Linked DNA regions of Sus scrofa. The protein of the gene in region 1 purifies or fractionates together with the protein of each later gene. This does not show direct contact. Links are inferred from orthologs where the notes say so. Each region holds a gene or a part of one and is shown on either strand. Other genes may lie near its edges. The genes, in order: GNB5 and GNG2.

Region 1 (3,803 bases):
GCCAGAGCAGTGCCAGATCTGAGTCGCATCTGCAACCTACACCACAGCTCACAGCAACGCCAGATCCTTAACCCACTGAGTGAGGCCAAGGATCAAACCGTGTCCTCACGGGTACTATTTGAGTTCATTACCGCTGAGCCACAATAGGAACTCCAGAAATGCAAGTTTAAATGATCAGATGCTTACTTGCCCCTTGGATTAGCTGAGAAATGCTCAGGGGTGGAGGTGGGGCAGTGAAGGAGCCTTGGGTGAGCCTCGGTAAGGCCCCTGGGTAACTGCCTTCTGCAGGGCAGTTTTGTGATGGGGATCAGGAGCTTTCAAAACTTCCCTATCCTTTGATCTGACCATGCTTTTCCTTGGAAACATTTCTATTCTAAGGATTCTATTCCTTAGGTATTATAAGGAAAATATAAGCAATGCAGATAAAGATTTTTATAGAAGAATGATCATGGCTTCCCCATAGTTTTATTTATTAAAGAGAAAAATTAGACACAGTCAAAACACTTAGCAGGGTACGGCTGTCTAGATTCTGATATATCCACATGGGAATGGAACAACCATGTTAATCATGGTTTGGTTTGGTTTTGTTTTAGATTAGAAGAGATTTATTGAATACACTGCTAAGGGAAGCTGTGGGAAGGCAGGACGAGAGAATTCATCTGCCCTGGGGTAGTGGTTTGGGCTCTTTTTGTAAGAGAACTGGCTTCAGACAGCTCTCTCTCCATTCCTACCAGGCAAATAAGGGATTAAAACATGGCTGTTTGGGCTGCTTATTGGTCAGTTGGAGGTTACCAAAGAGGCTTTTGTTATTTAGAATGGCTCCCACATTATCCCCAACAGATGGACAATGCCACATCTTTGGCATTTGGGTGAAGGTCTCATCTTCTGTAGCCGCTTCATGCTGAGCAGTAATTTTGGTTTTTTGAAGATTATTTAATGATATGAGAAAATGCTCATAATGTAATGCTAATGGAAGCAATAAGGAAACATCCACCTCACTGAAAAATACACCAAAAAAAATAGGAGAAGACTGAAGAAAATAGCCCAGGTAGTAATAAATACCTCTAGGATTTAAGGTAACTTTTATTTCCTTTAATGCATTTCTGAGTTTTTTTGAATTTTTTTTTTTACAGTGAACACATATTCTTTATCAGAAAAAAGAAAAAGAGGGCTTTCACTTTTGTTTTTGTACACAGAGCAATCTGTATTTGCTATTCCTTTGAATCTCTAATGATCCATAGAAATTAATAGGAATCCGGTTTGAGGGAGAAAACACCAGGAGAAAAAAATGAAAGCGATGTTCTACTTATCCCTCAAACCACACAAGCCTCCAGCACCTGTCTGTAGCTCTCTGGTCATTGGTGCACCATACAGGATCCAGAAACAGGTGCTTCTTTGTCTTCTTTGTCATCCCAGTGTCGCCTCTACGACCTCCGGGCAGACAGGGAGGTTGCCATCTATTCCAAGGAGAGTATCATCTTTGGAGCTTCCAGTGTGGACTTCTCCCTCAGCGGTAAGATTTTGCCTCAGAAATTTTCCCTCAGTGAAACCAGGCTCTCTCAAGCTTCCCCTCAGCTAGACCTCCTGGGGGGCCATGTGCCGAAGAGTCTTTTGTGCCGGTTTTCCTCCACTGCATTTTTGATGCCCTGCTTCACCCTGCCTGAGGTAGCTTCCCCAGCCCAGTTCACAACCCCAGGAAATGAAGGCTGGGCCCATCTGATGCTCTTCTTCAAGACAAACTTCTTTTGAAGACTGATTGTATCTTCTTTTGATACAATGATGCATCAAAACTCCATCTGCAGGACCTTTAGGCTTTTCCTGCCCAGCCTTCCATTTTTCCCTTCACACCTGAAAAAGGATTTTTTTCAGAGGTGGCAGGGGTGAAGCAAGAGTCCCTTTGTCTCTCTTTTTTAAAAATTTTATTCATTAAACAATTCTTGAATTATAGTATTGTGCTAGTTTCTTAATGCCCTGAAGCTCATGGTACCTCTGCCTTTATAGCTGGGGTGGCTGCCAATGAAAGTTAGGGCCACACTGATACGCTAGGTCACTGGACCATTCAGTTCTCCTGGATACCCTCCTGTTGTGCAACCATGCCTTTGTGCATGCATGCTGTGACCACTGCCTGGAACATCTTTTCCCTCCCTTCTCTCCATGGCAAACTTTTATTCAGCCCTCAAAGGCCAGCTCAGATGTCACTTCCCCTGCAGTGCCCTCCTAGATCCCTCCTCTTCCTCTGTGATTACATAGCACTTTACATACAGCTGAGCACTTCCACTACAGCCCTGACTACCTGCTGCTGCAATGATTTATGAGTGAGCCTGGGCCATCACCATCCTCCGCAGGTCTCCTTTCTCCTCTTTGAATTCCCAGGGTGAAGCACAATGCCTGGTACATAGTAGGCACTAAATCACTATTTACTGAATAGTGAATGAATGAATGAGCGAGCACATGAGTGAGAGTCATGAAAAGAAAAACAAGAGGGAACTGGCTTCATAACCATCATATCCTCCTGCTTTAAGGTCGCCTGCTGTTTGCTGGATACAATGATTATACCATCAATGTCTGGGATGTCCTCAAGGGATCCCGAGTCTCCATCCTGTTCGGACATGAAAACCGTGTTAGTACTCTACGAGTTTCCCCTGATGGGACTGCTTTTTGCTCAGGATCATGGGATCATACACTCAGGGTAAGAGACATGTTTTACTACTTTACCCTGTGTGTGAAAGCAGGAGTGATTGGCCTTCCTGAAAGCAGAGAGGTCTGTTTGACCTAGGCAGCCAAATAGAGCTCTGATTTCAATTCTGATAGCCCCAGAGGAATGATTTGACTGGGTGGGTAGTGAGTTCCCCATCAACGCAGGTATTTAAGCATAGATACCCCATAAGACTGATTCTCACCTTTGACAAATTAGATTATCATTCTCACCTCCCAGTGGTGCAGGGTTCTTATTCTGTGGTCACAGACCACTGTGAAGCCCACAGAGGGGCTTTCAGAGACCTATGAAGCCCTTGCAGTCATATGCCAAATTGTGTATGTGTGTGCATTTTTCAAAAAAAAAAAATGTCTTCATGGCTTTCATTACATTCTCAAAGAGTTCCAGGACTTTGTCAGATGTTGACTACTCAGAAATAATACCAAGATAACCTGTTCATCAAACAAAGCTTACCTCGCTATAGCAGATGGCACACTTGACAGTCTTATTAGCACTTCAGAAGGGGAGAGCAAAGGCAGATATTTATGAGGTTTTTAGGGGTCTGGTTTAAGGCAAGTCTTTTGATGGAGGGACTTCATTAGGACTGGACAAATTTATGGCATATTTTAAGATTGATAGACATAGAGTTGGGGGAGAGAGAGAATTTCAAAGACCGTCTTTAAAAATTACTTGAAAAACACATCTTGGAGTTGCCATTATGGCTCAGCAGGTTAAGAACCCGACTAATATCCATGAGAATGCAGGTTTGATCCCTGGACTCACTCAGTCCATGAGTGTAGTTTAAGTTGCAGATGTGACTTGGATCTGGCATTGCTGTGGCTCTGGCGTAGGCCAGCAGTTGCAGCTCCAATGGACCCCTAGCCTGGGAACTTCCATATGCCCTGGGTGCAACCATAAAAAGAAAAAAAAGTAGCCAGTCATCTGATGCTCTCTATTGTCCTTAGAGCTGAGTGCCTTTTTTCAAGAGGGTAATTGAGTGGTCTAATCTTAGGGTAAATACATAAAAGGATTTTTGCAAAGTTCCTGAAACAAACAATAAAGTTTGTTGTGACTTCATTGTCCTGGGCAAGAGTTTCCTAAATTTGTA
Region 2 (4,485 bases), about 62 Mb from region 1:
GCAAAGACAAAGAATATGCTAACTTTTCTTGACACCAAGCAGGAGAAAAAAAAATGACATCTGAGTACCTACTATGGACAAGGAGGACACTCACATATCCACACACAAAAGCAAAGACCAAATAAAATACAACAAACCAAACCAAAGACAATGAATAATACCCTAATTATGTATTATTAACCCCTCTTTACAGTGAAGATCAGTCAATGTACCAGGTCAAGGAGTAAGAACTAGTGATAGGATTTAAAAGCAGATCTGCCTGACTGCGTTCTTTTCCCATCTCCATGCTGTTTTCTTTTACCCAGAGTTGTCTTTGAAGAGGCTTGTAGAGTTTTTATACTTAAAAGTCGGGCCTGCCTTCTGAAGTAGGCTAAAAAAGTCAGTCATCCCAACACCTTCCCTGTGTGCCCACCATGAAGCCCACGACTGGCCAGGAAATCATGGAGTCATGTTTCTACTCAGCCATTGACCATATGGCAGGAAAAAAAAAAAAAAACAACACACAATTAAAATTTCAGTGTTGCTTGACTCCCTCAAAAGCCACCCAATACCCTGGACAAAAGCAGTATGTCTTTCAATATTCCATATGGCCAGAATAAGTGGAAATCGTCCCATTTTACAGGATAGGGGCTTTTTCATCTTTTGTTTAAACCTCCTACCATCTTAGTTACTGATCTGCTGTTACTCATTCATGCTGTGCTTCAAGCTGGAATTTCACAATTAAGGAAATGTTTTGGACTGTGCAGATAACTGGCATCTCAGATGTTTTCTAAAAGAGAGCAGGGGGCTTCAAGGCTCCCCTATGCCTATGAGCCAAGGTTTCGTTTTCTTACTCTTTTAGTGAAACACACAGAGAGGAGTAAGGCAGACTGTCTACGCATCCCCACACAAAGCAGGGTGTTGGCATCATCTAGTGAATCCAGCCTGGGGATGAGTAAGTACCACGGGCTGAGCCCCATCCTCATTGATACAGCCCAGACTCCCAAGTTCCCATTTCATTTAATGCCAAACAGCTTGATCGCAGAGCTCCAGTGAGGGGCATTCTGGGTCCAATACCCACGTGAGAGCTCCTTTAGAGGAAAACGATCTTTTATACATATTTTGCTCTAGGAGACATACGGGAACCGGAACTGTGGAATGCGTGGCGTGACTTGTTTTGCCCACAGGTTTTTTTAAATTCGGTGCATCTGTCAGGGGCGCTCCATGGTTTCAACACCAGCAATATTTCACCTCTTAGTCATCGGCAGAGGTTCAGTTTCATAAGTAAGCTCAGAAAATTCGACTTTTTTTTCTTTCGTTAGTATCTAAAGATTCTTATCTCTGAAAATGTGCTACTACCTATCCCCCAAATCTGGAGAAGCCAAATAAATTTCAGAAAAATGATATTAAAAAAACCACTATGGCTCTTCACAATTGAGAATGATGATAAATGAGGGAGCATGTACACTCCCCCTGGCATAATTGTGTTTAAAACCTACATCTTAAGAATGTATGAGTGTCTAAATATGACCTTTTTATTATTTTTACTCCACTGTAAGTGGTTCTTTCTTTCCTTTGAAAAACATATCTCCTTTCACTGTAAAAATGCAAGACAAAACCTTCTATCAATGATCATTTATTGCTTAACCGCACTTTCTGTTGGAGATGAAGCTTAATTTTCTAAATCAGGCTATGCTAGCATATTCGATTCCTTTTCATACGTATCCTGCCAAAGGAATCTCACAATCTCATTGCTAATCTGTTAGACCTATTTATTGTACTTGTATATACCATTCACAAATATGAACAGCCTTGGCCAGAGACCCTCAAGAAGACTCATTGTTTAAGAAAAATCACACAATAAAAATCACATTCTGATTTCACTATTTCATCCAGCCACAGCCAATGCAGGTGAGAAAGCAACGCGGCAACACTTTCATATGCTGTCCGTCCCTGAGGCTAATATGCACCTTGACCGAGAGATGAATAAAACCTTCATAAACATAAAATCCATATATACACCAGTATGATTCTGGACAAGTTAAACCCACCACACACCTTTGAGAAAGGATGCAACTTTAGGATAAGACCGGTTGGCAAACGATAGCTGTTTCTGAGGTTATCCTGAAAGCAGCGGTACCAGTTTTTAATGATAAATACTGCCCCTCAGATACGCAATTTCAGGCTTTGTTGGCAAAATCGGAGTATAAAAGGATTTAACAGCAACAACAAAAGCCAAATCACAGTCTTTCTGCTGCAAGACAGAAGCTTCCCCCCGGGGAGTGTGTAAGAAAGAAAATGCAGTGAACATTTTACACCACTTACACCCCTCAAACAGGACTGCAACGCTCAGATGATCAGCCCACAGCTCCACAGCCCCAATTGATTTCAACTGGGCTCTGCTTTTCTTCCAAGAGAACTATGCAAACATTTAATTGTTTTCCTGATGAGTCACTGAAGCTAAGCACATAATGAGGGTTATTTTTTTAATAAAACAAAGGTGTCATACATTTGGTCATTCTCAGAAGCCCTCCTAACAGAACCCACCCTGACCCTTTTCCCTCATCCCCGAACACTGTGCCTATCTTCCCTTCGAAATCTGCCCTGAAAACCGCAGGCGGTGATCATTTTCTCACTCAACGAGGAGCAACATGAAAAGCTTTTCCTTTACCTTGGCTCCCGAGGCTGGTCCGAGCAGAGTGGCTTTCCTGCCCTCCCCGAGCCGCTGTGTGCAGCACAGCTCCAGCGCAGCCAGCCCAGCCCAACCCCGCAGTAGTAGGAGCTGCCCACGGCGCGCAGCACGGGGAGTGTGTGTGTGTGCGCGCGCGAACGTGTGTGTGCGCGCGCGCTCGTGTGTGTATGTGTAGCAGCAGCGCCCGCAGCCCAGGGACTAGTCCCCACCCAGCTTTGTCTTCAATCATCCGTCTTTCTACAGGAAGCGGCGCATCTCCCACTTCCTCCTCTTGCGAGCTGCGAGCTGCTTGCTTCTTTCCCTCTCGTTCCATTTCAGAGCTCCCTGGAGCCCTTTTCCCTTGCCTTGGGCAGCTGACACCCATGTGACTAGAATCCCCTTCCCCTCTTTGTTCCAAGTCCCTTTGGTGCCATCTCCTCCTTCCTTCAACTTCTCCATGCCTCGATTTCCTCATCTGCAAAATGGGGGCCATTATAGTCATATGCCACAGCAGACCCCAGAGGATTAAGTGAAATGGTGCACAGAATAATCATCATTCCTGAAAACACAGGACGTGTTCAATACACAGCAGCTCTTATTTTTAGAGGACCTTGAGTCTCAGAGACAGTGAGTAACTTTGGCAGTCAGCAGCCACACCAGGACCTGTACTTAGTTTCCCAATTCCCCACAGTTAGTATATCCACCCCTAAACCTCAGGGCTCTCAGGGCTCTGAATTTATTCAGCTTGTGACTCATTCTCCTCCACCATGAACACAAGGTGCTTTGGGGAAGCTGTAGATTCAACAGGGGCTGAGGGGAGGGGAGGGGAGGGGAGGGGAGGGGAGGGGGAATCTTTCTAATGTCCTGGGAACACCATTAAGAAACCTCTTCTCAGAAATCAGTGTCTGGAAAGCTAATCTTCTGGGGCAACAGAGTTAATTCCCAACTCCACTTTTGCACCCAGCCTTGACTTAACTGTCCAGCAAGTAAACTAACAAAATGTTGAAAAACTGGAGTGGATACAGGAGAACTATATTGTCCAGGATGTCGCCAGATAAGACTTCCTTACCCACTTGGGGACCACAGCACATTAAGTCTGGAAGGTACAGAATTTAAATTTTTTTTTTTTTTTTTTTTTTTTTTGGCCACACTCACAGGATGCAGAAGTTCTGTGGCCAGGGATCAAACCTGTGCCAGGGCAGCAACCCAAGTCACAGCAGTGACACACAGGGCCCTTAACCAGCTGAGCCACCAGGGAACTCCTAATTTCTATGAAATGATCTGAGACAATCCACAAGATACCCTTTGTTTTGATTTGATGTTCCATGAACAGAATTTGGTTCTTTCTTCCTAGAACTTTTTAAGCAAAAAGCACCCTGATGTCAACTAACTAAAGTCAGAAAATTACAAAATGGATTCTTTCAAGATTTAAAATGAGGGACTACTTTTGAACAACAAGAATTATAGTGGTGGGAGAGAATAGGGCATAGTTCCCACAGCTTCCTGCAACCCAATGAAGATTAGACATGAATTACCTCCAAGTCAGGAATCTTGGTGCCAAAGGTTACTGGGAGCTTTTAAATGAAAATTTACACATATATGATATCAAGTCTAAAAAAAAAGCAGCACGATCATGAATGGTTGGGAAGATTATGGAAACAAATCTTTGGTTAATTTTAAACTAGCAGATGCTGGCACTAACTCTGGATTCAAACATGTCTTTTTTTTTTTTTTTTTTTTTTTTAATCCTCTCTCCCTCCCTCTCACTCTCTCTCTCAACTATCAGAGAGAGGGTGGTACTTATCTTTATATCTACATAGGGAAATCTCTTTCAA

Evidence for each region.
Region 2: the proteins of GNB5 (region 1) and GNG2 purify together in Homo sapiens (affinity purification with western blotting; 4 studies listed by BioGRID and IntAct, with this or other methods). This does not show direct contact. The link is inferred for Sus scrofa from reciprocal best matches to the Homo sapiens genes GNB5 and GNG2.

Annotation. Positions count from the first base shown.
Region 1 is NC_010443.5:119,583,307-119,587,109, forward strand, and holds part of GNB5 (guanine nucleotide-binding protein subunit beta-5), read left to right. Parts: intron 1-1,416; coding exon 1,417-1,513; intron 1,514-2,522; coding exon 2,523-2,689; intron 2,690-3,803. UniProt on the Homo sapiens protein: Enhances GTPase-activating protein (GAP) activity of regulator of G protein signaling (RGS) proteins, such as RGS7 and RGS9, hence involved in the termination of the signaling initiated by the G protein coupled receptors (GPCRs) by accelerating the GTP hydrolysis on the G-alpha subunits, thereby promoting their inactivation.
Region 2 is NC_010443.5:181,514,508-181,518,992, reverse strand, and holds the start of GNG2 (guanine nucleotide-binding protein G(I)/G(S)/G(O) subunit gamma-2), read right to left. Parts: upstream 2,899-4,485; 5' UTR 2,651-2,898; intron 1-2,650. UniProt on the Homo sapiens protein: Guanine nucleotide-binding proteins (G proteins) are involved as a modulator or transducer in various transmembrane signaling systems.